4 linked regions of the Elephas maximus indicus genome follow. The protein of the gene in region 2 purifies or fractionates together with the protein of the main gene of each other region. This does not show direct contact. Links are inferred from orthologs where the notes say so. Each region holds a gene or a part of one and is shown on either strand. Other genes may lie near its edges.

What was found.
Region 1: the proteins of KEAP1 (region 2) and OTUD1 purify together in Homo sapiens (affinity purification with western blotting; 3 studies listed by BioGRID, with this or other methods). This does not show direct contact. The link is inferred for Elephas maximus indicus from reciprocal best matches to the Homo sapiens genes KEAP1 and OTUD1.
Region 3: the proteins of KEAP1 (region 2) and TSC22D4 purify together in Homo sapiens (affinity purification with mass spectrometry; 4 studies listed by BioGRID and IntAct, counting the BioPlex papers as one, with this or other methods). This does not show direct contact. The link is inferred for Elephas maximus indicus from reciprocal best matches to the Homo sapiens genes KEAP1 and TSC22D4.
Region 4: the proteins of KEAP1 (region 2) and SLK purify together in Homo sapiens (affinity purification with western blotting; 3 studies listed by BioGRID and IntAct, with this or other methods). This does not show direct contact. The link is inferred for Elephas maximus indicus from reciprocal best matches to the Homo sapiens genes KEAP1 and SLK.

The regions. Positions count from the first base shown.
Region 1 is NC_064822.1:32,368,390-32,375,834, forward strand, and holds OTUD1 (OTU domain-containing protein 1), read right to left. Parts: upstream 3,021-7,445; 5' UTR 2,924-3,020; coding exon 1,487-2,923; 3' UTR 283-1,486; downstream 1-282. UniProt on the Homo sapiens protein: Deubiquitinating enzyme that specifically hydrolyzes 'Lys-63'-linked polyubiquitin to monoubiquitin.
Region 2 is NC_064821.1:28,571,505-28,578,768, forward strand, and holds the start of KEAP1 (kelch-like ECH-associated protein 1), read right to left. Parts: upstream 3,005-7,264; 5' UTR 2,729-3,004; intron 2,262-2,728; exon of another isoform or gene 2,172-2,261; intron 1,786-2,171; exon of another isoform or gene 1,722-1,785; intron 704-1,721; 5' UTR 657-703; coding exon 18-656; intron 1-17. Other genes in the region: S1PR5 (sphingosine 1-phosphate receptor 5), read right to left, coding at 6,402-7,264. UniProt on the Homo sapiens protein: Substrate-specific adapter of a BCR (BTB-CUL3-RBX1) E3 ubiquitin ligase complex that regulates the response to oxidative stress by targeting NFE2L2/NRF2 for ubiquitination.
Region 3 is NC_064830.1:91,887,602-91,895,230, forward strand, and holds the start of TSC22D4 (TSC22 domain family protein 4), read right to left. Parts: upstream 3,016-7,629; 5' UTR 2,348-3,015; intron 1,875-2,347; 5' UTR 1,613-1,874; coding exon 851-1,612; intron 1-850.
Region 4 is NC_064834.1:55,422,033-55,429,162, reverse strand, and holds the start of SLK (STE20-like serine/threonine-protein kinase), read right to left. Parts: upstream 3,003-7,130; 5' UTR 2,818-3,002; coding exon 2,668-2,817; intron 1-2,667. UniProt on the Homo sapiens protein: Mediates apoptosis and actin stress fiber dissolution.

The sequences.
Region 1 (7,445 bases), on a different chromosome or scaffold from region 2:
TAATTTTAGATAGGCATGATAATTAGAAGTAATGAAAGCAATTTCTTTAGTTACTCCACCTTTAAACTACACTTCACTGTGAGATTTATCCTTTTGAAATTGGTAACGATTACCCAATCCTGTTCATTGAAGCTTTAGAAAAACGCTCTCATTACTCTGGGGCAACTTCACACATGGAAAAAAAAGCAAACAGTGTGCATGTAAGAAAGGTTCCTAACAGAAGACATATCATTTTAAAATCACTTTATCCAAAAAGGCATTTAAAAGTAAAATTATGCATTTTATTCATTCATTCCATCAGCTGAGAATTGATCTATTGTACAAATACAGAAATGTACAAAAATCACAAAATGTTACAAAATAAAAAAGTACAAACTGCATTACTTAATAAATATGACCAAAATAGTTAATGTGGAAATGAGATAGATTTCAGGTTGGTAACATTGTTTGACCCAGCAAACCATATAAGCTCTGCTTACAAACATTTTTATATAATACAGGGCAATCCTATTTTGCCTTGAGAATATTAAGACAATATTCTCCTGCTATAAAATAACTGCCAAAGTTGGAGGCATTTATGCTATTAGTTTTTAAATACCTTGGGTGAATCCAAGTAGCTATACAAAGCAGGAGGCTTATCTTGTCACAAAGTTTTATACCATGTGAAAATCCTTCTATAACAAAATGACAAATACAAACTGAGAGCACCAGACAATCTACTTAAACATCAACCAGAGTACAGAAGAATCACTCTGCCATCTGCAAATCTCTGACTCTCATTCAAGTAAGTGCTGGTACTACCCCTAAAAAAAAAAAAAAAAAAATCTCCCCGCAACGTTCCCTTAAGTACTTCTTTAAAAGACTGACCATTTCTAGAAAAATAAAGATCCCAAAACGACAAATCTGTTTCCGTTTAAACAAAATGGAATGGGCCAATAATCTGATAACATGAACTCATCGATACCTATCTGAAATAATTATCTAAGAATTGTAAAATCCAAATTTCAACAACATAAAATAACTATTAAATCACAAACTCTGTTCAAAACGATAGACTTCATATAAAGCACTTCTCTGGAATTATGCCTGAAAGCTGTTTGTCAAAACGGAACACGTCACAGATGAAGGTACACCAATTTTTAAAAGTGTTGTGCAAAAATACATTTTTATAGAAAATAGACTGCCAGGAATGAACGAATTTACACTGTGAGAAATTAGCTTGCAAATCAAGTAGTGCTAACTTTATACAGCAAATTATAAATAGCAGTAGGATTACCCAAAGCTCTCATAAAACATCATTTAGGTGCCCAGCAATCTTCAGCTCTGGGGAGAAAACAGGAAAAAAAAAAAAAAAAACCAAGATTAAGGCATTACATCTACAGTACATCTACGAGGAAGTTTAAAAGTGCTATTACTCTGAGTTCGTGTAATTCTCCAAACACAAGCTACTTAGGCAATTTTCCCAGGGTGTTGGTTTTCAAACATTTCAAGAGCATGCATTTTGTTCAATATACATTTTGGATAGAGATATTGCCATGGATTTGGCAAGCTCTTCATCGCGTTTTCTTTGCACTTGAGTTTGTTTGCACCAATTGTCATACTCCGGGTTAGGGTATGAGTGATCAAATACCGCATCATAGTGTCCATTGCTGAGCCAACTGAGCCAAATACTAGGCCTTAGGGAATCCTCGGGGCCCAAATAGTGGATCATGGTAGACACGGTGGGGCTCTCCAACCTCCCTCCTGTCGTTAAATGTATATTCACATTCAGCATCTGTCCCATCGCCAGCAGTTCGGGGTACCCGGCCCACGCCCCGTCTTGGGCCGCGGCGATGAGAAACTCCCCCACGTCCCCCTCGATCAGGGGGCTGAAGTGGTCGAGATGATCAGCGATGTAGTGCACCGTCTGTTCCCTCAGCTCCCGGTGCAGGCTCTGGTTTCCGTACACCGTCTTGCTGACCGCTCGGTAGAGGCAATTGCCGTCGGGAATGATGTGAAATCGGTACTTATTCCTCTGTCGCAGGTACTTGTCCTGCTTCTCCACCTCCGCCAGGTACAGGGCCAGTTTCTCGTCTCTGGGATCCGACCTGGCGACGATTCCCGCCTCCGCCGCGCTTCTCTGGGCGCCCTCGCCGCCCCTCGTGGGGGGCGCCTCGGCCTCCGGGTCGGGCCGCCGCGCCTCGTCCGCGCCCGCAGAGTCGCCGCCCGTCTCCCAGCCCCGGGGGCTCCTCTCCGCCGGGTGCTCCTCGCTCCACAAGCCGGGGCCAGGCTCCGGGCTCCCCGGGGGCGGCCCGGGGCCTCGGTGCTTGGCGGCCGCCAGGGCCTGGCGGTGCTCGCTCAGTCGGAAGTTTCTGTCGGGCCCGTCCCGGGCCGCGTCCAGGCCGGCGGGCTCGGGGCCGTCGGGCCTCAGCAGCTCCTCCAGCAGCCAGGCGGAGGAGCCCCGGCGCGGCGGGACCGGGGCGCCGGGCGTCGGGGCCAGCAGGAGGCAGCGGCCGCGCGGGGCGGCGGCGGGCGCCGGGGCGCCGGGCTCGGGCCCGTGCAGAAGCAGCCTGTCGGCGCCGAGGGCCCGCACGGTGATCTGCGCCGTGGACGTGTAGTGCGGCGGCAGCGGCGGCTTGCAGGACCCGCCGGCCGGGCTGGCGGCGACGGCCGAGGCGGGGGCGGCGGCCCCGGACACCATCTCGAAGCAGGAGGAGAAGGCGGGCATCTTGGCGGCGGCGGCGGCGGCGGCGGCTTCCCTGGGCTCGGCGGCCGCGGCGGGCTGGCACTCACCGGTCTCGGGCTCTGGCGCGCTGCTGGCGGGTCCCGGCGGCTGCAAGGAGACCTTGAAGGGGGCGGCGGCGGCGGGCGCGGCGGCGGCTGCGGCCGTGGGACCCGGTGCCCCGGCTGGGTAGTGGGTGCAGACGCTGCTGTAGAGCTGCATCTCCCTACCCGCCGCTCAACCCTTATAGGCGCAGCGAGCCCCCGTGCGGGGACACACCCTCCGGGCCAGGGGGAGGGGGCCGGTCGCTGCCGGCCGAGAGCTATGACCCAGTGCCCCGAGAATAGCGATGAGCGAAGGGCCACCAGCAGCCTCCTGCAGAGCGTCAAGAACCGCAAATAGCGCCCGGGTCCCCGCCAAATTCCTGCTGCGCCACAGCGTGCGGTGGGGGCGGGGAGGCGACGCGCGCTCGACCCCTGCCGGCGCACTCGGCCCGCAGACCCGGGGCACCGTGCCCGCTCCCCTCGCTCCGGCCCGCGGCGGGCGCTGGGGACTGTCGGAGGAAGCCGCCCGCCCCGCTGGAGCGCGTCCCGCTGGCGAGAAGCAGTGCAGGGCGCGCGGAGGGGGCCGGGGGCGGAGCCGCGGCTTGTTTACCTCAGACCGCGCGGCCGGGTCACGTGGCCCCGCTGGAATGTGCGGCTCGTCGCTGCGCCCCATTCACTCGCTAGGGTTCGCCCCGCCCCCTCCGGCCCGCGCCCGCCTGCCGCTGGGCGTACGTCACGGGCGTGGCCGGCTGAGCTCGCCGCGCTCTGGCGGGCCGGGTGGCGGGCGCGCGCGCGGGGCCTCGGGCGGGGGAGCGCTAAGGCTTAATGGCCTGCTCGGCCGTGGGCTTCCTGGTCGGAGCCCGGGTGACTGCTGCGGAGCGCTTCGCCTGCCACAGCCACAGGTTTCCGCGCTGTACCGCTCTCGGCGGACTGGCGGGATAGGCGCTGTCTGGGGCAAGCTAGAGTGCTTTGAAAGCGTGCTTTTCGGAGAGGCTTCCGAACTCGGTGTGGAGGACAGAGCTGCCTTAAACGTGTTTGTCCCCTGCAGGTTCCTGGGCTATCACTCCTGCTTGCGTTCACCACTGTCGTCTTTTTGACCTAGTTTCTTGGGTAAAAACGCTAAAGCCTCGTGGTTCCCCCCGCCCGCCTAGGGTGTTTCTGCCCTGCAGAAACGAAACTAACTTTGCGGCTTGTCTAACTCCTACCAGTCAGCTGGCGCGTTCTTTGGTCGAAAGGAAGCCCTTAAAACAGCCTTTCTTTTAATCTTTTTAAAGTGTGCAGTCGCACTCATAGGTTATGGACGGGTAGAGTGAGTCGTGAATTGGATCCTGAAGAGGGAGTACCCGGAAAAAAAAACAGTAGGATATTGAAAACATTTTTACTGAACTATCTTAGTATTGCCCTCTTTGTAAAAGAATATTCATATTTTCAAAGCTTTGACCAAATGCTAAATAAAAAAAAAAAAAAAACCCGGTACCCTCCAGTGGATTCCGACTTCACAGCGGCCCTATAGGACAGAGTAGAACTGCCCCATGGAGTTTCCAAGGGCTGCCTGGTGAATTTGAACTGCCAGCCTTTTGGGTAGCAGCCAAAGCAGTTAACCACCATGCCACCAGGATTTCCAAATGTTAAATCAGCAGGGTCTAAAAAGTTCAAATTGGACCTGGAGATTATGTCACCATCAAAAAAAGAAAAAAAAGATCTCAGTGGAGCCCACACCAATTTCTGGCGACCTCATGTATGTCAGAGTGGACCTGTACTCCATAGGGCTTTCAATGGCTGATTTTTCATGTTCGGTAAAAGCTACTGAAAAATAATATCAACTCCCAACCCAGAAAACCTTTCCACAAAACTAGAAATAGACAAGTTTTATTGTTGAATAAGCATTACACCACAATGTGATCATCACAAGCAATCTGCTAAAGAGATTGCAAAGACGGAAAGGAATCTGGCCCTTTATATAGCTAAGCGGATGCAACTCATTGCATATATGTTTTCAAGATAACTTTGTTAATTTTCTAGTCTCTTCATGACAGGACAGAGATTTGCAGTTTGGGGCTGGGCCACCTGAGGTAATTTAATGTTAATCTCCTTCCAGGAAACAGGCTGCTAGGGAAGGATCACCTGCAGTTATAATTCAGAGAGGTAGCTGCCAGATCCTGGAGGAGGCAGGTTTACATACTTTTCAAAGAGACAAAGAAAGAATTTACGATTTATCTAAAGTAAATTCTGGGAGAATGAGGGAGGACGGGAACCTCTTCCCTTATATTCAACAAGAAGAATTAAAACCTCTTACTTCAATTTGTATTTTTCTTAAATGTTTTTTAAGTAGATCACCAGGCCTTTTTTTCCCAGGCTCCTCTGCGTGAGCTTGAACCTCCAACCGTTCAGTTAGCAGCTGACTTGTTAATTGATTGCACCACCCATGGACTCTGTCCCACCATTTTAGAGATGAAGAAGAAACTGAGCCTGTAGGTCATGGTATGGGTCCCTCTCCCCACGCCCTTCTGCTAGAATGTAAATTCCACGAGCAGAAATACCTTCTCTTGTCCACTATTACATTTTCATCCCTGAGCACAGTGCCTGGCACATAGTTGGAGTTCATTAATATTTACTGAATAAATGGGAACCTAGTTTCGCAAGACTTCTGTTAGTGGGGAAGCCAGAACTACAATCCAAGTCTACCACCCTACCAGGGCTTTCTATTTGCTATGGGAGGTAGGATTGGCAGGATCCCGGCAACAGCGGTTTGCTCAGGTCACTCCAACCTTGTAGGTAAATCAACTCAAGAGAAGGCAAAACAACTGTCCAACCACCTTTTCAAGTTTTGGTGACTAACCCCACTGGAAGCCCGTAGTCAGTCCCATCGCTAACTAGAAAAGGGAATTTACTTAGATTCCATCACGGGTTTGTTGATTATCTGTTGCTCTGTGCAGTTTTTTTTTTTTTTTTCTGTGCAGTAAGCTCTTCAAACTGAACTCCACCTGTAGCCATAGCCAATGTACTAAAACAGAAGACAATACTAATAACAATAAGATAATCCTCAAATACTATTTACTGAGTACTCATTGTGTACATAGCACAGCTTGCACAACAGGAGGCTTTAAATCCCTAAAGCAAGAATGTGTTTTAACAGGTTGGGATAAACACGGAAAAAAATAACACAACCTTTAGTATGGATTACGCCTCAACATAAAAAAAAAAAATCCTCACAACTCGACCAATAAGCAACATCAGAATAAACAGAGAAAAAATTGAAGTTTTCAAGGATTTCATTTTATTTGAATCCACAATCAACACCCATGGAAGCAGCGGTCAAAAATCAAATGACGTATTGCATTGGGCAAATCTGTTGCAAAAGACCTATTTCAAGTGTTAAAAAGTAAAGATGTCACTGTGAGAGGACTAAGGCACACCTGACCCAAGCCATGGTGTTTTCAGTTGCCTCACATGCATGTGAAAGCTAGGCAATGAATAAGGAAGACCAAAGAAGAATTGATGCCTTTGAATCATGGTGTTGGCAAAGAATATTGAATATAACGTGGACTGCCAGAAGAATGAACAAATCTGTCTTGGAAGAATGCTCCTTAGAAGCCAGGATGGCGAGGCTTTGTCTCAGCATAATTTGGACATGTTATCAGGAGGGACCATTCCCTGGAGAACAATATCAATGAAAGATAGGAAGACCCTCAATGAGATGGATTAACACAGTGGCTGCAATGATGGGCTCAAGCATAGCAACGATTGTTGAGTCAGAGCTGACTCGCCGGCACCTAACGACAAGGTACACAGAAGCCAAGCTAAGTATGATATGCTAAATTAGAAACAGCATTTAAACGAAGATGGGAAGATTCAAAACTCTAAAATACATAAAGGCTTCTTTTTTTTTTCCTTTTTAGTTAGTGTGGGGGGGGTAGGTTGTGCAACAATGCATATTCACTCTGGCAGTCAGTATTCACTCTATATCTAAATCAGGAAAGTTTCCAGAAGGAGGTGATACTTCAGGAAACCTTCAGAGTAGGAATCATTGCCAACCTTGGAAACAGGAGATTGTTTCGCACCTTTGGAAGCTAAGAGAAAGCAAGGTCTTGCAAGTGATAGTAAAGAGTGGAAAAGAAAGGGAGACGAATATGATTCCTAAACAATCTCCTCATTATTCCATCTGAAGAGAATTACTAATGATTCCATTCTGGAGAATCATTTGTCCAGCGTATTTTAGTACTGTGCAAAAATTTGGTGGAAGTTTATAGAATACTAAATGATAATTGCATAGTAAATGAATGTTGTTGTTTTTAGGTGCTATGGAGTTGATTCCAACTCATAGCGACCCTACGTACAACAGAACAAAACACTGCCCACTTCTGTGCCATCCTCGCAGTCGTTGCTATGTTTGGGCCCATTGTTGAAGCCACTGTGTCAGTCCATCTTGTTGAGGGTCTCCCTCTTTTGTGCTGACCCTGTATTTTATCAAGCACAATGTCCTTCTTCAGGGAACAGACCCTCCTGACAACATGTCCAAAGTATGTGAGACAAAGTCTCACCATTCTTGCTTCTAATGAGCATTCTGGCTGTACTTCTTCCAAGACAGATTTTTTTCATTTTGGCAGTCCACACTATATTCAATATTTTTTGCCAACACGATAATTCAAAGGCATTAATTCTTCTTAGGTCTTTCTTATTCATTGTCCAGCTTTCATATG
Region 2 (7,264 bases):
CCTTCCTCCACGCTCACCTCCCCGAAATGCATGTAGATGTACTCGCGGGCGCGCTGGTGCAGCTCAGCACAGCCGATCTGCTCAGCGAAGTTGGCAATGCCGATGGCGTTGCTGGGGTCCAGCTGCTGCACCAGGAAGTCACTGCAGGCACGGACGACGCTGTCAATCTGGTACATGACAGCGCCGTTCATGACGTGGAGCACACATTTCTCGCCCATGGAGATGGAAGCCGTGTAGGCGAACTCAATGAGGCGCTCCATGACCTTGGGGTGGATGCCCTCGATGGATACCACCTCCATGCCCTGCTCCCGCAGCCCGTTGGTGAACATGGCCTTAAAGACAGGGCTGGATGAGGCCAGCACCACCTTGTGGGCCATGAACTGGGCAGCTGGCGCATCCTCATACTTGACCTGCAGGGTGACGTCACAGAGCTGCTGGCTGAGCCGCAGCTCGTTCATGATCCCGAAGGCCTGTTTGGTGTGGTCCTCCAGTGTGTAGCTGAAGGTGCGGTTGCCATGCTGGGAGGGCGTCACCTCGGCCTTACACTCGGTAGAGGCATACATCACTGCGTCCCCTGCCCCCTCGGGGCACTGCGACTGCAGGGGCAGGAATCGGCTGTGGGCCCCAGCCCTGCTAGGCTTGGGTTCCAGCTGCATGAGGCTCCTGGCGATGAGGGACAACACCACCACTGGCACTCAGGGCCCTGGAGGAGGAGAGCACAGGGCTGGGGGCAGGGCCTGGGGCTGGGCCAGCACCGGCCAGGCCTCCTTTTGTAAGATAAAGCCATTCTCAGATCAGCTTTCCTTCCCGAGGGAACCAGATAGAGCAGCATTCATTCCAGCTTCCTAATTGTCCCCAGCCTTACCAGCCCAAGGGCCCATCTTAAAACCTAGGTCAGGCCATGTCCCTCCCCTGCTCAGAATCCTCTGACAACTCCCCAAGACACTAAGAATGAAACCGAACTCCTCAGAGGCCCGGTCAGCCCCTGCAGCCTCTTCCCTTTGCTCTCTCTGTCCCAGCCATCTGGAGCATGCCCTTCCTACAGCACGCCAAGATCATTCCTTTATTCACCTCACAAACACTTATTGAGTGCCTACTGTGTGCCAGGTACTGTTCTAGGCACTGGGGACACAGCAGTGGGCAAGACAGACAAAACCCCCTGCCCTCTGTGGAGCTGACATTAGGGGAGGAAAGGACCATAAATAAAATCAGTAAGGCTGGAGCGGAAACCTGGAGAATCCAGGAGGAGGAGTAAAGCTGCTGAGAGTATGGTGGGAGACAAGGAGCTGGGCTTGCATAAAGCCCAAGGTCGCAGAGGGCCAGGTCTGCGATGTGTTTTGAAAGGTTTCCACACTAGCTGGCCTGGAGGGTGGGGGGTGAATCTGCAAGGGGCGGCTAGGTTCTCCTCCTCATTGAAATGCAGTCACCACCTCCCTCATGCATTTTCATCACAGCACTTGTCAGGAACTGAAAGGATCTCCATGGCTTGTTGTTGAGGAATTGGCCATCCTTCTCACACACAGCCTCAGCGCTCCGGCAGGCCGGGGGGGCCCCTGTCTAGATCACTGCTGTGCCTTCCCCCGCCGTGCCACCCCCACGTCCTGCCCCGGGCCTGACACTGCGCAGGGCTCAGTAAACACGGGGCCGTCTGGCTGCCTGCCCACCCCACTGCGCCCTCTTCCACCCGGACCCAGGGCGCAGCTTGGCTCCCTCTCCCGTACCGACTGCCTCTCCACCTTCGGCCAATCGATCACTGGTGCCCCCTGGCCACCGGGCACTCCCCCAACGAAGCGCCCAGTGCGGACTGCGCATGCCCCGCATGGGCCGCCACCAAGACTTGGAGAAGGCAGGAAGTGACCCCGCCGCGGCCTCTCGCCTGCCAGCCCCAGAGGATGGAACGGGTCCCCCCAACGCCTCGGGGTCCCCGCGCCTCCGTGCGATCGGCGCTCCCTGAGCCTCCCGCCCTGTTTTCTTTCCTCTCGGGCCAACCCAAGGGTCGTGCAGTCCAACAAAAGGATCGGACCCCGGACCCGTCTCCTGGCCGTTCCAGGCCGCGGGGAACCCCGAGGCGCCCTGGCCTGCGACGCCCCGCTCCCCGCTCCTCAGGCACGGTCGCTCGGGCGCTCGCGGCCCGCGGTGCCCGCAGCCCGGGCACAGGTCGCCTCACTCACCCCGCCATGGCCGCGCTCGGGCTCCGCCTCCGCCGCCGGGGCCCCGGCGCCTCCATCGCCGCGCGGCGGGGGGAGGCGCGGAGCGCGCAGGTCACCATGACTAAGCAGAGCCGGGGCCCGCCGTGTCAGAATAAAAGTCCCCGCGGCCCGGGCCTCTGGCGGCGCCGCGGGAACGCGAGAGCGGCCACCTCCCGCCCCCGCCCGCGGTCGCCAAGCTGCACCGCCCCTGTGAGGCCACCACAGAGACGGCCATTACCGTGCGCGCGGCCGGGGACCGGTCCTCTGCGGGGGCCCCCACCCGCGCGGCCGGAGCCGCGAGGATTACACCCGGTAGTTCGAGGCCCGGCGTTCCCCAACCCGCACCGGGGACCCGGTGGCCACCGCTCCCCGCCGCTGCCGCCGCGCTCATCTCGGCCTCCTCGTCGCCTCCGTAGCTCTCGCTGACGGTGGGGATGCCTGAGTCACCGCGGCGGCTCGGGGCACGGCGGTGCCACCCGCGCGCGCGCGGCCCTTCCGGGAAGCCTGAAGGGCAGCGGCCGGGCCGCGGCGGCTCCTACCTGACCTCCGCCGTCGGGGATCCGCTGGCGCCTCCGCCGTCGCAGGGCCTCCGATCCGGGGCGGCGCAGCCTGCGGGGTCGCCGCCGTCGCGTGGGGGGCAGCCTCGGGACGCCCGGGAAGGAGGCGGGGAGAGGGTGGGGAGGGCGCGGTGGGGAAGGAGCCGCGATTCCCCGCCCTTCCCTCAGGTGCGGGGCGCCCATCCGAGGCCAGCGGGGCTCCGGGCCCGCCGGGACCATTCCCCCTGAGCGCTGTTGCTCCATCCTGAGTTCGTGGCCAGAGCGTCCCAGCGCAGGGTTGCTGTCCGCGACCTGCTCCTCTCCCTGTAACTGCACACGGCACAGGCCTCGCATTCTGGCGCACGCAGGATCCCGCCAGAATTACCTGCATAGTTGGGATTTTGTTGTCTTTATTTATTACCTCTGATTAAGAGACGCGTGAAGCTCACCTGCCGGAGTTCGAACCCCGGCTCTGCCTCCCGCAGCTCTTAGTTTCCTGCCTGTAAAATGGTAAAATAATAGGACCTTTTACCGGCTAGGTTGTTGTAAGGACTAAATGCGAAGGCGAGCGCCCAATAGATATGAACAATTATTTTTCATGACAAGGGATACTGATTTGCCACTATCACGGATTGAATTGTGTCCTCCAAAAATATGTGTTGCAAAGCTTAACCTCTTATGCTAGCGGTTATAACCCATTTGGGAATGGGTTGTCTTTGTTATGTTAATGAGCAGGATTAGTGTAGAGTGTGTCTTGAGTCAGTCTCTTTTGAGATATTAAACAACCAAGCAGAAAAGGAAAGAGAGATGCCAAGCTACATGAAGATCACCCAGGAAGCTCAGAAAAGACGAAGACCTTCTTCCAGAGCCTACACAGAGAGAAAGCCTTCCCCTAGAGCCAAAGCAAACCAAACCCAGTGCCGTCGAGTAGATTCAGACTTACAGTGACCCTATAGGACAGGGTAGAGCTGCCCCATAGAGTTTCCTAGGAGCGACTGGAGGATTCGAACTGCCAACCCTTTGGTTAGCACTGTAGCACTTAACCACTAGGCCACCAGGGTTTCCAAGAGCCGGCACCCTGAATTTGGACTCCTAGCCTCCTAAACTGTGAGAAAATTAATTTCTGTTTGTTAAAGACACCCACTGTGCTATTTCTGTTATAGCAGCACTAGATAATTGAAACAGCCATTTGCACCGTTTATGATACAAAGTTAACTTTTAAATAAATGTGTTTAAGTTTAGTTTAAAAGGAGTCCATCTAAATGAAAACTAAGTAATAGAAGGGGATGAAGTTTGGGGAGACGCTGAAATGAAGAGCTGTTGGTCTACGAAAGGATTCCGTAAGCCACCAGGATCTGAAATTAAACTGGTGCCCGAAATTGGTGTGGGGTTTCCCCCCCAACCCCTTTGCGTGAAACTACAGTCCCTATCCTCTCCGGGGCGGCGGGGGTGGGGAGCGCTGTTTCATAGTCGGCGAATACGCTGAGTGCCCAGGCTGTGGGGAAACACGCACCCTCCTCGCACGTGCCCCAAGGCAACCTTGCCTATCTATAAATCAAACCTTCACGCCCTGTGACCCAGCAGTGCCATTCGTAGGGATTTATCCAAGATACACTGATACGCGTGCAGGAGGATTTATGTCCAGGGAGGTTTATTGCAGCCCTGTGTATAGTGTGGATTGGACTCAACCCAAATGTCACTCCATGGGGACGTGGCTTAATAAGTGATGGGCACAGCTTTTCTTTTACAGCCATGCTGTGAAATACTATGCAATCGGTTAAAAGGAGCAAGACATTTAGACATTTACTCTATGAATGTTTAACTGAAAAAAAAAAAAGATATAAGAACAAAGCAGAATAAAATGTGCATACGTGCAACAATCTCCAAGACCTATTATTACATGATCAAAACTCCTTTCAGCTTATTTATTCACAGACAGCTCTGGAAGTTTCCCAAGATCGAATCCAGGAAAGGGAAATGGGTGTTTTTTTTGTTTGTTTTTCAATTTTGTGAGATGTAAACAATTCAATAAGTCCCCTACCATCTCGCCATCGAACAATGGGGTGAAATGTCTGGGAAGGCCCCAGACTCCCTTGGAAGTTTAGAAGAGCGTCCGGACTAGGGGCACTAGGGCAAGGGTGGAATTGGGTCCAATCCCAGAAGCGTCCTGGGACTGTGACCCCCAAGCTTGTGTATGTATATTTCAAGAAACAGGTTGGTTTCTCAGGCGTGTAACCTTCAGGGGCGGCCCAGGTATGGCCCGCGGAGACGGTCCCCAGGACAGGCCCCCGGCCCTGCAAAAACACCGCCGTCTGGCTGCCTGCAGTTCCGAGACCTCCCACCAGGTGGCACACCACAGTGAAAACCCGACGCCCCCCACCCCTCCCCCGGCCGCCGACAACTCAGGGGTCAGGAATGCTCCTCGGGACGTGCCGGGGCTGTGGCCAGCGTGCCTGGAGCCTTTTATGGGCACAAAGGGGCCTGGTAGCACCCCTGGCTGAGAATGCAGACCCCTGGGGTTTGGGAGTGTCGGTTGGAATCGTCGGGAGGAGCCAGACGCTAGACCTGAGGCCCCCTGGGCCTGGGAGCCTGACTGCCTGGGCTGGAATCCCGGCTGAAAACACTGCAGCAAGGTGCTCACTGCTTGGAGCCTCAGTTTCCTCATCTGTCAAATGGAGGTGACAAAATCTACCTTGCAAAGTTGCTGTAAGGGTGAGAAAAAAACCAAATGTGTGTCCTCAGCCTAGGATTTGTTAAGGCGACTAAACCAAAAAGCCCAGTGCCGTCAATAAACTGTAAATGTTATTAACTTTAAATTTATTATTATTTTTTTTATAATGAGGGATCGACACTGCACTCAAGAAAATTTTGTGCTCAGACAGGATTTGGCTGAATCTCTCAAATTTTGGGGTGCCCTGTCCCTGGCTTCCTTGCCTCTAAAGTGGGGAGTCATCCTTGATTTCTTTCTTTCCTTCACCCCATACCCAATTCCTTGGTAATTTTGTTCACTGCCTCCAAAATCTGTACGGTAACCGCTTGGTCTGAGCCTGGTTGGTGTTCCTATCATGGCTTTCCTGGGCCAGCACCATCACCTCATTCCCCACAGCCTGTCTCCACAGTGGCCAGAGGGAGCCTGTGAACACCCGAGCGAGGTCACCTGGCTCCTCTGTTCAGAACCCTCCATGGTTGCCATCTCATTTAGAGCAAAACCAAAGTCCTCCCCTTCCCCCACAAGACCCTACACAATCTGTTCCCTTGCCTCCTCCTGCACTCCCCCACCAACTCTCTGTCAGACACACCAGGATCCTTGCTTTTCATTGAACACAACAGCCTCAGGGCCTTTGCACCTGCAATTCCTTCCTCCTGAAGTGCCCTTTGTTCAGGTGACCACCATCACTGACACCATGATTGTATTATTACTGGAATTATCGCGTTTATTTCTTCCTGGACCAGAGTTTCAGTACCACAAAGGCAAGATGTAGTCTGTTTTGTTCACTGCTGTGTCCCTAGTGACTAATATAGAGCTTGGCACACAGTAGGCACTCAATAAATAGGGTTTGACTTCAATTAATATATCTGCCCTGTGTCTTTGGCTGCGTTTCCTACAGGTTCCTTTATTTAAAGCAAAAAAGTCTGCAAAATAGCTCTTAGGGAAGGCAATGGCGGGCCTGAGGCATCAGTCTGCAGTGGGCATGGGCACCAGGGTCTGGGCACCCATGGGTGCGCCGGGGCTGCCAATGGAGCCGCTGGTGTCCAGCCCATCCCGTCGGGGCGACGAGCGCTCAGAGTGGCTGGAGCTGCCATCAGTGCAGGGAGGCAGCCATTGGCGCAGGCCGCCGGAAGCCCCAGCCTCGCTCCCGGGCCGCCTGGAATCACCCTGGCCTAGGCCACAGGGGCGACGGCCGCAACAGACGAGACGCAGGAGCGCGTGGCGCAGGTCGCTGTTGGTGAACGTGTAGATAATGGGATTCAGAAGCGAATTGGCCATGGCCAGGCCCAGGAAGGGGTCAGCCTGCAGGAGCACTGGGCAGGCGCGCGCCGGGCATGCCACGTCGAGCAGCAACAGTAGGAAGAGGGGACCCCAGCACGCCACGAAGGCCAGGAGCACCACGCTGAGCGTGCGCAGCAGCGCCAGCGTGCGCGGCGTGCGACGCGCCCGGTCCGAGGCGCCCCCGCTAGCCCCGGGTCGCGCCCGCAGGCGCCGCGAGTTAGCGCGCACCTGGCAGTAGATGCGCGCATAGAGCACACAGATGGCGGCCAGGATGCTGACGAACGCGACCACGCAGAAGAGCACGTAGGCCTTGGCGTAGAGGGGCAGCACTGTGGAGCAGGAGTCTAGGCGGCCCAGGCAGTTCCAACCGAGCCCCGGCAACAGCCCGATGAGCAGCGACGCGCCCCAGGCGGCGGCCGCCAGCGCCAACGTGCGCCCCCGCCGGGCGGCGGGCGCGGGTCCCCGGTGCGCCATGGTGAAGCGGCGCTCGAGCGCGATGGCCAGGAGACTCAGCACGGACGCAGCGAGCGCCACGAAGACGCCGCCTT
Region 3 (7,629 bases), on a different chromosome or scaffold from region 2:
TACAGCCCCCACATCCCTAGTTGCCCCCCCCCCAGGGACCCAGGCATCCTGGCCTCCCCCTGGTTTGTTCCTCTTTTGGAGACCGGAAGCAGAAAGAGCAGATGACTTAACTCTTTCTCAGCTGCTTTCCACCTTCTCCCAAGGAAGGTAGCACTCAATGGTGGCCACCCCCTGGAGAGACCTACGGAACTGGGGGTGGAGAAGGGAAACTAGCAAGCCCCCTATTCCTATAATGTGCCCCCGAACCCAATTCTTCAGGAAGAGAAACTTGACTTTATTCATAGATGAAAATGGGGCTCAGATGGGGGCTAGTGGAGAAGACAGAAGACCCCACATGCAGAATGGGGCTGCCATGGAGAAAACGGCTTACAGTGGAATGCTTACTTTTTGCTCCTATCCCCCAAAACCCTGGAAGCTCCTTCCTCAGAGGCCCAACTGCCCAGCCCTACTGGGGCCTCCACCCTCAACTCCTGGAGTTGGGGGGAAGGAGTGAGACCAAGATAAGGTGAAGGCCAAAGTGAGGAAGCCACAGAGAGGTGGAGAGGCTAGAACTGGACCACAGAGATGAGGGACAAAGGCAACAAATTAAAACCAAAGGGATAGAAAATGCAGAACACAGTGGAGGGGGAACCTGAGAGAAAACAAAGTGCGGTAAGGAGTAGGAATGGACCTCAAAGTGAGGTGGCAGGAAGAGAAAGGAGAGGCTACTGAGCAGATAGAGGATAATGGAGTGAGGACGGAAGGCAGTATGGAGGTGGAGGCAGGAGGCCCAGGATGGAAGTTAGGCCAAGACTGAGATGGATGAGCACTGCCCCCCAGGTGTCTCCTTCACCCTGGGACCTGCTCTTACCTGCCCTGTCTCCTCTGGAGCCACCAACTCCATCCTCAGCTGCAGGGCTCCATCATTCCTTCGGGACAGTGGAGGAGTCCCCGCTGCTGAATTCCTAGGCTCCACTTCCACCCTCAGGGAGGGCAGGGGGGTGGGGGCCCGGGATGTGCCCTCGCTATCCCGGGTCCCAGGCTCTGGGGGGCGCTGCTGGGGCGGGGAGGCCGACAGGGGGGATGTTTCCACCATTGCCTTGCCGGTTACCGCCATCTGGCCCAGCCCTCTGGTTAAGGAGCGGGCCTGAGGTCCGGGTGAGGTGGGGGGCGGGCGGAGCCAGGAGGTGGGGCCCTGAGACAGGCCTGGCTGTGGGGTGGGGGTGCCCAGGCCCAAGCTGGCCACCTCCAACCTGGAATCCAATGACCTGCCTCCAGTGCCCCCCGAGGCCCCTCGAATTCCCTCCAGTAGGCGGCCGAAGTTAGGGGGCTCCAGGTCTCTATCGTAAACATCCACACACGTCCACCGACCTCGGCGATAAGGCTCTCCCAGACCCTGGGGCAGCTTTACCACCCGGAAACGGGAAGCGGGGGCCCCAGGCGGTGGGGAGCCGTTCCGGGGGGTGCCCTTGCCCCCTGGCTCAGGGTTGGGCTCCCCGTTGGGCAGCCGGAGTGGGGGCCTGGTGGGGGCCGGTGGGGTAGGGGAGTCTGCACCCCCCGGGCTCCCTGGGCCCTCATAGTCCGTGGTGACGCTGGTGATTTGGAAACTACTCTTCTTCTTGCCCCCACTCATAGTCCCTGGGACTCAGGACTAGGCCGAGGTGGGCGGGGGCGGCTGGGGCTCCTCGCAGAGGCTCAGGCGCCCCTGGAACAGGGAGGCCACATGGCGGGGACATCAGAGCCCCTGGGGACATCTGGGTCCGACATGGCAGGAGGGTCTTGGGGAGCTGGGGGTGCCTGGTTGGTGAAGGGAGAACAGGGTAGGGAAGGGGGGGTGGAAAGGGCAGGTTTTTCCTGCTGCTGTCGCTATCGAACTCCACAGCTGAGTTTGCAAACTGGAAAGAGAGAGAGAGAGAGAGAGTGAGTGAGGGAGTGTATGTGCCTATATTGTGTGTGAGAGAGAGAAAGCAGTGGGCAGGCCACCTCTGGGGCTTCCTCTCTGGGGAGCATGATGTGGGGCGGGGGGGTGGGGAGGAAGGGGAAACCACCAGAGACCCAGAGACAAAGAGTCTGGCAGAGATGGCAGAGATCAGAGCGCGGAAGGCTGCGATCCCAGAGGGCGCACGGAGCAGGAAGAGGCAGACATGCCCCAAAGTTTGGCACTTCTTGCCTTGGATTACAATTCACAGGGCCCGAAAGTCCCTAAGGCAAGGGCTCCGTGGCCCAGGTGAACAGAGGTGAAGCAGCTCCTCGGCCTGGCCTCAAGACCCCATACCAGCTCCCACATCCAGGGGGCTGGGGCCGCCAAGCATGCCCTGCCCCCCACCCCTACCCCCGCCCCAGCGCCCCGCCCAGCCCAGAGTCCTACCTCTCAGGCCGAGCTGGGGGTCCTGGCTAAGGTGTCAGGCTGTCCTTCCCCTGGTGCCTCCGGCCCCCACAGCGCCGAGAGCAGGCGGCGATCACAGGCTGCCCAGTCCTCTTCGGGGGCCGCACCTCACCCCACAAGGCATCTCCGGGGAAAGTTTGCTCTCCAGAAAAGCAAGGAACCTCTAGGATGGAGCCTAGGCTCGGCCTCTGAAGCCCCAGGCGTCTCCCAACCAATTTGGGAGGGGGCGGCTCGCCCGCCGCTCTTCCAAATGGAAAGCCTCCCCCTGGGGCAGCTGGCGTCGGTGGTCTTGGCGAATGGCTGTCCCAAGTCTCCTCCCGCGTGGCAACGCTGGTTCTGTCTCTGCTCCTCAGCTCCTCTCGCTCTTGGTCTCTGTCTTTCCCCTTCTGGGCTGTTGACAACCCCCACACCAGGAAGTCCTGCCTCCTCGGGCCTGCTGACTGCTTCTCTCCTCCGCCTCCTTTCCCTCTTCCCCCTCCCTTCTTCCCTCCTTCCTGGGGCTCCCGGCCACTTGGCCGGGGGCCAGGCCTGCCACAGCCGCCACGGCTGTTGCAGTTGCTGCTGCTGATCTTGGGGCCCCAAACAGGCTCCCTTAACCCCACACCTGCTGGGCCCGAGCCCAGCTCTTCCTCGGAGGGAGGGGCTGTGGAGGGCGGAGAGAAAGGGGAGGAGTTTGCAGGGAGGCGAGGGATTCCCCTACTTGTAGGCAAGTGCGGGCATTGGCCTACAGACACACATAAGAGTCGGAAGGAATACACCAGGCACTGTATTGGGTGCCTGGTACCCCATAAAAAAAAAAAAAACTCATAAGTGCCTAGTAAAACTTATGATGCTGCTGTAGCTGTTACTAGTTGTAACTTTTTTGGTCTTCACAGTAACTGTATGAGGAAGGTACTATTAATCCCCGCCCCCCCTTGTTTTAAAAAGTATATTAAGGAAAATTGCAAACATGTACAAAAGTAGAGAACAGTATAATGAGCTCCCATCATTCTAGTTTAAGCAATTATCAACTCACAGCTAATTTTGTTTCGTGTCTACCCACCAATATCTTTTGTTGTATTTGGCTCGAGTATCTAAAATCAAATGCCAGACATCATATATCGCCCTTCTTAGATGTGGAAATTAAGACCCAGGAGGTTCAAAAAGGCTGTCAGTGGTAGAGCAGGGACACCACATACTCAGGTGTGTCCTCGGCTAGCCCCCAAATATAAAAACATGCACAGACACACAGATGCAGGTGCTGACTTGCACTTTCTCTCCAATTGCTGGACACACGTGTTTATACACACAGTCACCCACACAGATGCATCCCTGGCTGGTCAGAAGCATAGACTCCCTCCCCTACCGCTAATCCTTCCTACCTCTCTGAGGTGTAAAGAATGGCTTTTATATGGCCTTTCTAAGGGCACGGTTTTGTAAATCCCACAGAACGATTGGCTAGAACTATGCAAACTCAATGATTTATGGTCTACTGAGGTGATTGGCAGCTTGTGGTCCTGATGGGAGGGTCATTTGTTGAAATTGACATAGGCTCATATAAAGAGAGCCCTGGCAGCTGTTGGCTACTAACTGATAGGTCAGAGGTTTGAAGCCACCAGCTACTCCATGGGAGAAAAATGTGGTAGTCTGCTTCTGTGAAGGTTTACAGCCTTGGAAACACTATGGGGCAGTTCTTCTCTGTCCTGTAGGGTTGCTATGATTTGGAATCCACTGGATGGCAGTGGATTTGGTTTCTGGTTTAGGCTTATATAAGGGTCAATCCCACAGAGGTTCAAGAAGAATCTGGAGCACAGTACATCCTTTGAACCAAGGACCCAGGGTCCTTGCACCAAGAACCTCCTAGACCCAGAAGAAAGAACTGTAACACTGAAGACAGTGAGAGACAGGCAGTAGGCTTGCTGGCCCACTGAGCAATAGCTGAGCACCTTTGAGCAGGACGCCTGTCCGGGGAGCCAGAAGAACTGTAAAGCTTACTTGTGCAGGGCAAGAGAGGCCTGAGTATGCCCTGTACAAGGGCTACACACACTTCCCACCCCCCTTGAGCAGTGTGGCAGGAGCCACACAGGCCCTCAGACAGTGCAAGCCTGGGTGGTATGGTGAGAGCCAGTGGCAGAGACTTAGAAGGGCCCAATGGCCATCTGGGGTCTTAAACGCTAGCAAGCAGCCATCTAAGAAGCATCAATTGGTCTCAAGCCACCTGGATCAAAGGAGAATGAAGAACATCAAGGACACAGGTAATTGCGAGCCCAAGAGACAGAAAGCGCCACATGAACCAGAGACTACATCATCCTGAGACCAGAAGAACTAGATGGTGCCTGGCTACAACTGATGACTGCCCTGACAGGGAACACAACAGAGTACCCCTGAGGGAGCAGGAAAGCAGTGGGATGCTGACCCCAATTCTCATAAAAAGACCAGACTTAATGGTATGAGACTGGAAGGACCCCAGTGGTCATGGCCCCCAGAGCTTCTGTTGGCCCAGGACAGGAACCATTCCTGAAGCCAACTCTTCAGACGTGGATTGGACTGGACAATGGGTTGGAGAGGGATGCTGGTGAGGAGTGAGCTTCTTGGATCAGGTGGACACTTGAGACTATGTTGGCATCTCCTGCCTGGAGGGGAGATGAGAGGGTGGAGGGGGTTAGAAGCTGGCGAAATAGACATGAAAAGAGAGAGTGGAGGGAGAGAGCAGGCTGTCTCATTAAAAAAAAAAAAAAATTTTTTTTTTTTTTTTTGTCTCATGAGGGGGAGAGTAATTGGGAGTATGTAGCAAGGTGCATGTAAGTTTTTATGTGAGACTGACTTGATTTGTAAACTTTCACTTAAAGCACAATAAAAATCATTAAAAAAAAGAAGAAGAAGAAGGGCCCAGTGGCAGAGGCTTGGGAGATCCTGTGCAGGGGTCTTCCCACCAGAGAGGTAAGGCCCAGCAGCAGAGCAGAAGCCTCCGGCAGGGCAGTGTGGTGGTGGATGTAAAAACAGCGTCTGACTTGAACCACAGAGCGCCTGCCCAGCGACATAAGAATAAAAAAATGGATATGGGTAATTTGGGGAAGGGCAAGCATTTCCCCTTGGAGATTCTGTTGTTTTCGTTTGCATTCTGGAAACAATGGAGCCCTGATGGTGCAATGGTTAAGAGCTCAGTTGCCAACCAAAAGGATAGCAGTTGGAAACCCTCTGGGGCAGTTTTACTCTGTCCTATAGGGTTGCTATGAGTTGGAATCAATTCCACAGCAATGGATTTAAATGTCTTGTGGGTCTGGCTTGATCACAGATAAACACAGCACCCAAAGAATGGTTGATGCCAGTGGTTCTATGTGTCTCATTCCTAGCAGTCTTACAGCTGCCTGGAATTTTGAGGCACAACCTGTCTGCATGTGCAATGCAAATAGACAATGTATACACTCTCCTACCCCATCCATTAGTATTATGAAGGAGAATCCATACACACTTACTAAGGACCTACTATGTGCTTGGCATGAAGAAATAAACCTCCAACTGTCATCTTCTCTGTTTTTTTTTTTTTTTTAAACCACCCCCAACTAACATTCTGAAAGGGATTATTTTAACAAAAGCAGTTTCTAACGGCTAGGTCTACCTTCACTCCCAGGTTCAAAAGAAAATGGATTCTAATTCATTTCCATCAAAGGGAACTGGTCTCAAGTACATTAAAAATTCCTCACATTTGTCTACTTTGCATAAGTATCTCACTGGATTTTCAAAACAGCCCTGGGAGGAAAAAGGGTGGCTTTTGAGCTCCAGTGTTTCTGCTAAGGAAACTGAGGCTCAGAAACACTGGGTCATTTGCCCAAGGTCCCGGAGCTAGTATTTTATAACTAAGACTAGCACTGGGCTTTCTGACTCCCAGTTCAGGGCTCTTCCCACCATCCCTCTCTTTCCCACATCCCTCCTCCCTCGGCTTCATCTCATGGAAATTTCTAACCACTCTTTCAAACCAAAGAACCCACTGCCAAGCTTGGAGTTGATTCTGACTCATAGTGACCCCATAGGGTTTCCAAGCTGTAAATCTCTGTGGAAAGCACACTGCCACATCTTTCTCCCACCGAGCACCTGGTGGTTTCGAACCATCGACCTTTTTGGTTAGCAGTCAATTACTTTAACTACTGTGCCACCAGGGCTCCTTAACCACTCTTTAGGGTTGAGCAAAAAATAAAATACCACCCTCCTTTATATATTTATTCTTTGTTGATTAAAATGCATCTGGACCCCTGCCTCTCTTCCTTTAGCCATGATAACAACGCCTACAATCCTAAGCCTGGTCATGAGGCCTCCCAAGTGTGAAGTCCTGGAAGCAGCCTTCCATATGCCCCCCCCCCCAAGTCCCCACCTCTCCCCGATCTGGCAACACTCAAAACACAACCCTGCCTGCTCTGCCCTCGGCCCTCCTTTCTTCATCACTGACACTCCACGAATTATTTAAAACTTATTATTATTTTTTTAATCTTTGGACTCTCTGGCTCTGGGCATCAACCCTTTCCCACCCCTCAGGCAGTCAGTTTCTTGGACTCCACTCCATTTCTACAGACCCTAGGACACAGTAGGTCTCTGCTGAGAAGTTTGTTGAATAAATAAATATAAATTCATTCACACTAAAGTGTAAATGGGAAACGACTAATAACACTTTAATGTGTTACCTCTCCTGGGGGCATTTATAATAGCCCCTAAAGTGTGAAGCCCTTTTGTGTGAAGCCCTTTTGCAGCTATTATTCTAATGACCACCCTCTCATCTCAAATTCTATTAACTTAGGCAGCAGATAAGACACCTCAGAAAGGTTGCTCGATTTGCCCAAGGTCACATAGCCAGTTAATGCAAAAACCCGTCTTCTTGCAGTTAATTTACCCTAAGAGCCCTGCGCCAAAGGGCTTTCCGAGGAAGCAATTTCTCAGGGAGCTGACGAGAAAGGTGACTGAAAGGGAGGGGGCCGAAGTCGCGATCCTCAGTGGCCGCCGCCACCGCACCTGGGCCATGGCCGCGGTGGTCGAAGTCAGGATTCGGACCCTGGTGCGCTCAGGTCCTGGCGGAGGGCGCCGGCAGAGTCAAAGGTTATGGGGTGGATGACTTGGATTGCATGGGAGGACGGGTGGAAGACTTTGAGCCTAGGCGAAGAAACAAGGTCCCGGCGCCTGGGAGGCTGCAGCGGGAGGAGACCCAGCCCAAGCGAGCCAGCTCCCGCGCCCTCCCCCCGCACCTGGGAGGCGGAGGGGAAAAGGCGGCGCGGCCAAGGGAGCAGGCACCCTGCTGG
Region 4 (7,130 bases), on a different chromosome or scaffold from region 2:
GACTTAAGAAAACTAAAGACTCAAGGGAAAGATTAGTCCAAAGGACTAACGGACCACAACTACAACAGCCACCACCAGACTGAGTCCAGTAAAACTAGATGGTGCCTGGCTACTGCCACTGACTGCTCTGATGGGGATTATAATAGAGGGTCCCAGAGAGAGCTGGAGAAAAATGTAGAACAAAATTCTAACTCACAGAAAAAGACCAGACTTACTGGCCTGACAGAGACTGAAGAAACCCTGAAGGTATGACCCCCCAGACACCCTTTCAGCTCAGTAATGAAGTCACTCCTGAGGTACACCCATCATCCAGATATTAGACAGGCCCATAAAACAAAACGAGACTAAAGGGACACACTGGCCCAGGGGCGAAGACTAGAAGGCAGGAGGGGACAGGAAAGCTGGTAATAGGGAACCCAGGGTAGAGAAGGGAGAGTGTTGACACATCGTGGGGTTGTTAACCAATGTCATAAAACAAAATGTGTACTGTTTAATGAGAAGCTAGTTTGCTCTATAAAATTTCATCTAAAGTACAATAAAATATTAGTCTCTAGTCCATAAAAGGGAGCCCTACTGGCTCAATGGATAAAGCGCTCGGCTGTAACCGAAAGGTCTGCAGATTGAGCCCACCAGGCACTCCATGGGAGAAAGAGGTGGCAATCTGCTTCCTTTAAGATTGCAGCCTTGGAAACCCTATGGGGCAGTTCTGCTCTGTCCTACGGGGTCGCTATGAGTCGGAATCGACTCCATGGCAATGGGTTTAGTTAACTGCATACTCATAGAATGTTCAAGGATGAAGGAAACTAAACAAACATTTATGGAAATCTACGATTTTAACAGCTAAGAAAAATTAATCCAAAGAAGTGTTTTGTCCAAGACCACAAAGCTGGTTTGTGACAGCCAGGACTCAAACACAAGGCTTGGCTCCCAGGACTGATCTTCCCACTACATTAAAAGAATATTCCTACCATACAGCTATATGGTAAGTGCTTGCTGAGACACATGACTCTATCCGCCACACAAACACTAAAGTTTACTTTGCCAACTTTTGCATCATACAATGGCTTCAGTAACATTTACATGTAATAATAAACACGCATTATTTCATTTCAGTAAATTCACAGAGATGCACCATCTGCTAAGGCAGTCTATGTGGCCACACGTGTATGACTGTGTTGGCCCCTGGCCTTACCACAGAAACATAAACACGCTAACGACAATATGGGACAAGGGCTATACTAGCTACATGAAAGATGTGTTAGAAAGAACATAGGACTGGATATGTCTGCCTGGAGGAATCGGAGATGATAGGTAAGTACAGCTCTAAAGAATGAGAAGGACCAGGGTGGGAGAAGATGCATCTGAGGCAGGGCAGGGGCAAAAAGAAGTGTGACAGTGCTTAGAAAGCAGGGGAAATGCTATTATTTCTACCCATGGACATGAAATTAAAAAAAAAAAAAAGTACTAATTACAGGGTCAGAAGACCTGAGTTCAAATCCAGGCTCTGACTGGTGTGACTGACCAGTTTGAGTCTCAGTGTCCTCCTCCTCTGTGAGATGTTGACACTGCTACTGACCTGCCCACCTCACAGGATTTTTGTGAGGCCCCATTAGGTGAGAGCGCTTGAAAAACTGCACAAGTTATTTATGTTTTCCTTCTAGGCAACCCCTATGGCCCGTTCCCCTAAACTGTGTCTCATGAAAAACCTCACCCTTTCAGGGTGAAAATATTTCTATGACATCATTCCTATGCTTCTTAGACGACAGTAAATAGGTAACAGGTTGAAACCCCAAACAGCTTTTTATTAAAATAAATATGTAGAAATGTATGTATGTGTGTGTGTGTTTCATTTCTTAGGCATCAGCATTGACTCCCAGTCAAAGCTTATTATGTTTAGAAACTCGTACCACTTGCAGATTTTCTTCTGGAAATCTTCTATCCGAAATTCCATTCCATTAAAGTATGTTGTCAAGCAACCAACTCAAAAAAAGTCTGCCAGTAGCAATAATTTTGCTCTCATCGGAAGACAGCCAGGCAGTATCAGCTACACCCGTCGCCGTCGAGTCGATTCCGACTCACAGCGACTGTACAGGACAGAGTAGAACTACCCCACAGGGTTTCCAGGCAGCGGCTGGTGGATTTGAACTGCCGAACTGGTGGTTAGCACGAGAGCTCTTAACCACTGAGCCACCACGGCTCCGTATCAGCTATAGATACGACCAAATATATGGCCTGGACCCTAAAAAAGGGAACTATTTTAGTATAAGCACGCGTATTAATTCAAACAGTAAACGAACATTACAAAATCCAATGAAAAGTATGAGTCTCAGATGTTAAACTATTTAAGAGACACAACGCAGATGCCTCTCTTTAATTGAAGAACGCCCTCGCTTCCTTCAAAGTTTGACAAAGTAGACCGTATAATCTGGCCTCCCTTTTGCAACCACTCTTGAAAAATATTCAGACCCCACCTTGTTTAACCTTAACCTCCACTGTCTAGGCTACTCCTTGGATAACACCCTAGACACAGTTCCAGTGCACGTTTACAAAGTCAAATGAAGGGGCAAGACACAGAAAAGGGACAAGGACAGCGAGCAGCTCCCGAGCCACCGCGGACCAGTGGCCGTTTCATCCACCAAGTGCAACTTCCCGTTCCCTCCTTCTTACCTTGTACACTTTCCCAAAGGCTCCGTCGCCCAATTCGCCTATGATTTCCCAAAAGTCCTCGGGGTTCAGGTCCCTCTTCACATGCTCGTACTGCTTTTTCTTCCTCTCGCTCCCCAACTTGAAGATCTTACGGAAATTGAAGAAGGACATTCTTCCCACAGAGTTCCTGGCACTTCAGGACTACACACAACAATAAAAGGCAAAGTTTCTCCTCCCTCCGGTCTCGCGCGAGCCGCCGGGCGCTGGGGCTCCGGCTCCCGCCGCTCGGGTCGGGCCGCCGCCGGGGAAGGCGGGGCGGCGGCTGGGCTCGGGCTCCGGCTCGCGGGGGGGGCTGCGAGGGCGGCCCCTCCCGCCGAGCCCGGCCGCGCGCGAGCAGCGCGGTGGGCGCCTCGGCCCGGGCCGCCCTGGGGGGCCGCACCTGCGCGGCCGCGCGTTCCCCCCGGCCCGGCCTGGCCCGGCCCGGCCCGACGGGGGCAGGGGTCCCAGCGGCCCGGACGCCCGCGGCGGCCGCGGCTTAGGCCCGTGTCACGGCGAGTCTCCAGGGGCGGCGGCCGCTCCAGGCGAGGGAAGCGCACGGCGACCTCTGAGGTGGGCGGTCGAGAGGCCGAGCTCTCCCGCCTCGGGCCCCGAGCCCGGGGTCTCCTCCGCGGCCGTCTGCTCCTGCGGCGCGAGGCCGGCGCGTCCCCTCGGCTCTGGGGCGCCGCCGCCGCTGCCTCGCTCCCTCCCCAGCCCACACTGCTGCGACCCGGAGCGCGCGCTGCCGACGCCGACGCCGCCGAGGCTCGCCCCGGCCGCGCGCTCACCGGGCCGCGCGCCCCGCTCACCGCGCGCCCGCGCAGGGGCGTCCCCTCTGGCCCCGCGCACGCGCGTTTGGCCCCGCGCTGGAGGCTCGGATGGGGTCGCTGCCTGGAGTTTACCCATCAAGATACAAATCCATGTCAGTCCGCGGTTTTGGTGGAGTTGCACCAGTGGGCATGACCCTGTTGGTTGTGCCAGCAGTTGTTAAATCTGCATCTGGAAAATTTTGAGATTGAAGAGCGAAAACTGAGCAGTCTGGCTGGGGTCCGGAAGTGGACTTTTTCCTCCCTGAAAGGGCCCCAGAGTACAATGAAGGGGAGTGTATGTGGTGGCTGGAGCTTAGGCGTTGAAGAGCCTAAGCTTTCCAGCTCTGTGACCTCTGGCAGGTAACCTCTCAGTCTCAGTTTTCTCATTTGTGAAAAAAAGTAGCAGAGTCCCTGCCTGAGGGGTCGTGGTGGGGAGTAAATGAGACAATGGATGTAAGCCCTTTGCTGAGTAAACCAGAAACGATCAACCTTAGTTCTTAACGTTATAAATGTGTGAGTAAGATAAATAGATTTAGATACATAAAAATTCTTTAAGCTCACTTCTCAAGTGATGAAAGCCCTGGTGGCATAGTGGTTAAGTGCTACTGCTGTTAACCAAGAGGTAGGCAGTTCGAATCCACCAGGCGCTCTTTGGAAACTCTATGGGCAGTTCTACTCTGTCCTATGAAGTCGCTATGAGTCCAATCGACTCTAGGGCAGTGGGTTTCTCAAGTGATAACCCTGATACTCTTTTGAGAGTAACCTACCTTCTGGCCACTTTCACGGCCATAATCATGGTATCATTTATTCTTGACCACCTGAACTACTTACTAAGGCCCTTGCTTTCTGACCTGCTCTGGTCCCTTAGGGCAGCACAGGGGTCAAGGTCTGCTTGGCAGTGATGTGGGCGTTGTCTGGAATCTGTCAGATGGTGACCTACCTTCCCCCTCCTCCAACCAGATTGGAACTTTTCTGAGAGCAGTGGTTTGTTCATCATGGTATACAAATACCTGATAACATTTCTGGTGTGTAGTAGGAAGGCAGGTCCTTTGAATGAATCAATCAATCCATCAGTGAAGGTATCTGGCCACCAAGACAGCAGTGCTGAGAGCAGAGCCCGTCCTTTGGACCCGGGGTTCCTATGCAGAGAATTTCCTAGTCCAGGGGAAGATTGATGACAAGAACCTTCCTCCAGAACAGACAGAGAAAGCCTTCCCCTGGAGCTGACGCCCTGAATTTGGACATGAAGCCTACTGGACTGTGAGACAATACATTTCTCTTTGTTGAAGCCAAAAAAAATGAAAGCATCTGGGGCAGAGGTAGTATTGCTATTTAGAGGATGTCGATCAACTCCTTCCCAACCTTTATGCCCTACTCCAGCCCGAAAATGGTGTAATAGAAATAAAATCCCTCTTCCAGTAAAAGAGTTATGAAGATTAAGCAATCTCCAATTTTTTTAACAGCTTTATTCAGGTGTAATTAATATATAATACCAGTTGCCATCCATTGGACTCCAACTCATAGTGACCCTGTAGGACAAAGTGGTATTGCCCCATAGGGTTTCCAAGGAATGGCTGGTGGATTCCAACTGCTGACCTTTTGGTTAGCAGCTGAGCTCTTAACCGCTGAGCCACCAGAGCTCCATAATTAATATATAATAAAAAAATAGGCTGTAAATATTTAAAATCTACAATTTTATACATTTTGACAAATGTATACACCTGTAAAAACAATACCATAATTAACCTCTCTATTTTTAATTGATAACATTTATGGAAATGAGACTAAATATAAAGAAAATGCACGCTCATTGTGGAAAATGCAGAAACGCACAAAGATATTGTAATTCTGCCGTTCAAAGATAACCGTCAGTAAGATTTCATTATATTTCCAAACAAGTTTTTTTTTTTGGGGGGGGGATATACGTTAATTTTTTTTTTTACATGATGAGGTCATACTGCATATAAAAGTTTTTACCCAGAACTTTTTACATTCCAGTATCATTAATAATTCTTCTGTTCCATCATGAGGCAGATTACTTAACAATTTTTTTTGTTTTATGTAAAACGTTGATAAATGTCTTTGATATTTATTTATACACAAATTCTTTTCCATATACTTGATCATTTCCTTAGAATAAATATGAGAAGTAGATTTTGGGTTCTTTTCAAAATGGAGAACTCTCCTGTTTTCTCAAATTAAAAGGTAGTATACACTTGTTGCTGAGCCCTGGTTGCACAGTGGTTAAGCATTAGGCTACTAGCCAAAAGGCTGATGGTTTAACTCTACCAGCCGCTCCTTGGAAACCCTATGGGGCAGTTCTACTCTGTCCTGTAGGGTCACTATGAGTCAGAATCAACTCAATGGCAATGAGTTTTTTGGGATTTTTATACACTTGTAAATAATTCAAGCAATACAGAAATAATAAACTAGAAAACTGTCTATAATTCTCCTTTCCTTCCATCCCACCACCAACTCCACCCCTAACCTAACCACTGTTAAAAATTAAGCCTATGACAATGACAGCAGCAGAGAACGTCCTTTAGACCAGAGGTTCCTGTGCTGAGAATCTTCTTGACCAGAGGAAGATTGATGACAAGGACCTTCCTCCAGGGCCGACAGAGAAAGAAAGCCTCCCCTGGAGCAGACACCCTGAATTTGGACACCTAGCCTAAAAGACGGTGAGAGAATAAACTTCTCTTTGTTAAAGCCAAAAAATTAAGCCTATAAGCATGAGGGAACTTTTTGGGGTGATAAGAAGGTTCTAAAACTGGATTGTGATAATGGTTGCATAACTGTATAAATTCACTAAAAATCAGTGAGTTGTACATTTACAATGGGTGAATTTTATAATATGTAAATTATACCTCAATAAACCTTTTAAAAATAGATACCCAGTAAAACCCAGTGCTGTTGAGTCGATTCCAACTCATAGCGACCCTATAGGACAGAGTAGAACTGCCCCATAAAGTTTCCAAGGAGCGCCTGGCGGATTCCAACTGCTGACCCTTTGGTTGGCAGCCATAGCACTTAACCACTCCGCCGCCAGGGTTTCCAAAAATAGATAGATCTACTTATATACCTTACTAGATTTTTTTCTACATACTTTGTTTTTTTTTAATATTCAAATAATATCGCCTGACAACTACTTTTATCTGAACTGTTTTTCCACTTTCAATGAATCGTGGACATCTTTCCTTGCCAGTACAAATATGCCTACCTAATCTTTTTTAATTGCTGCATGGAGCCCCAGTATATAGTGTACCATAATTTATTTAACTATTTCTCTATTGGTCCGTGTTTAAGATATTTCCAATTTTTTGCAATCATAAACAACACTACAGTGAGCATGCATATGCAAGCATCTTTGTATATTTGTCTGATTATACTTCCTTAAGATAAATTTCAAGAAGTGAAACTGCTGAGTCAAAGAGTATTTAAATTTTTTTTTACCTATGTTGCCAAACTGGCCTCTAGAAAGGTTGTACCAATTTGCACTCCTACCAACAAAGTTGTCAAGGATTTCGTTTTACTTGGATCCATAATCAACACCCACAGAAGCAGCAGTCAAGAAATCAAAAGACTCATTGCATTGGGCAAATCTGCTGCAAAAGACCTCTTTAAAGTGTTCAAAAGCAA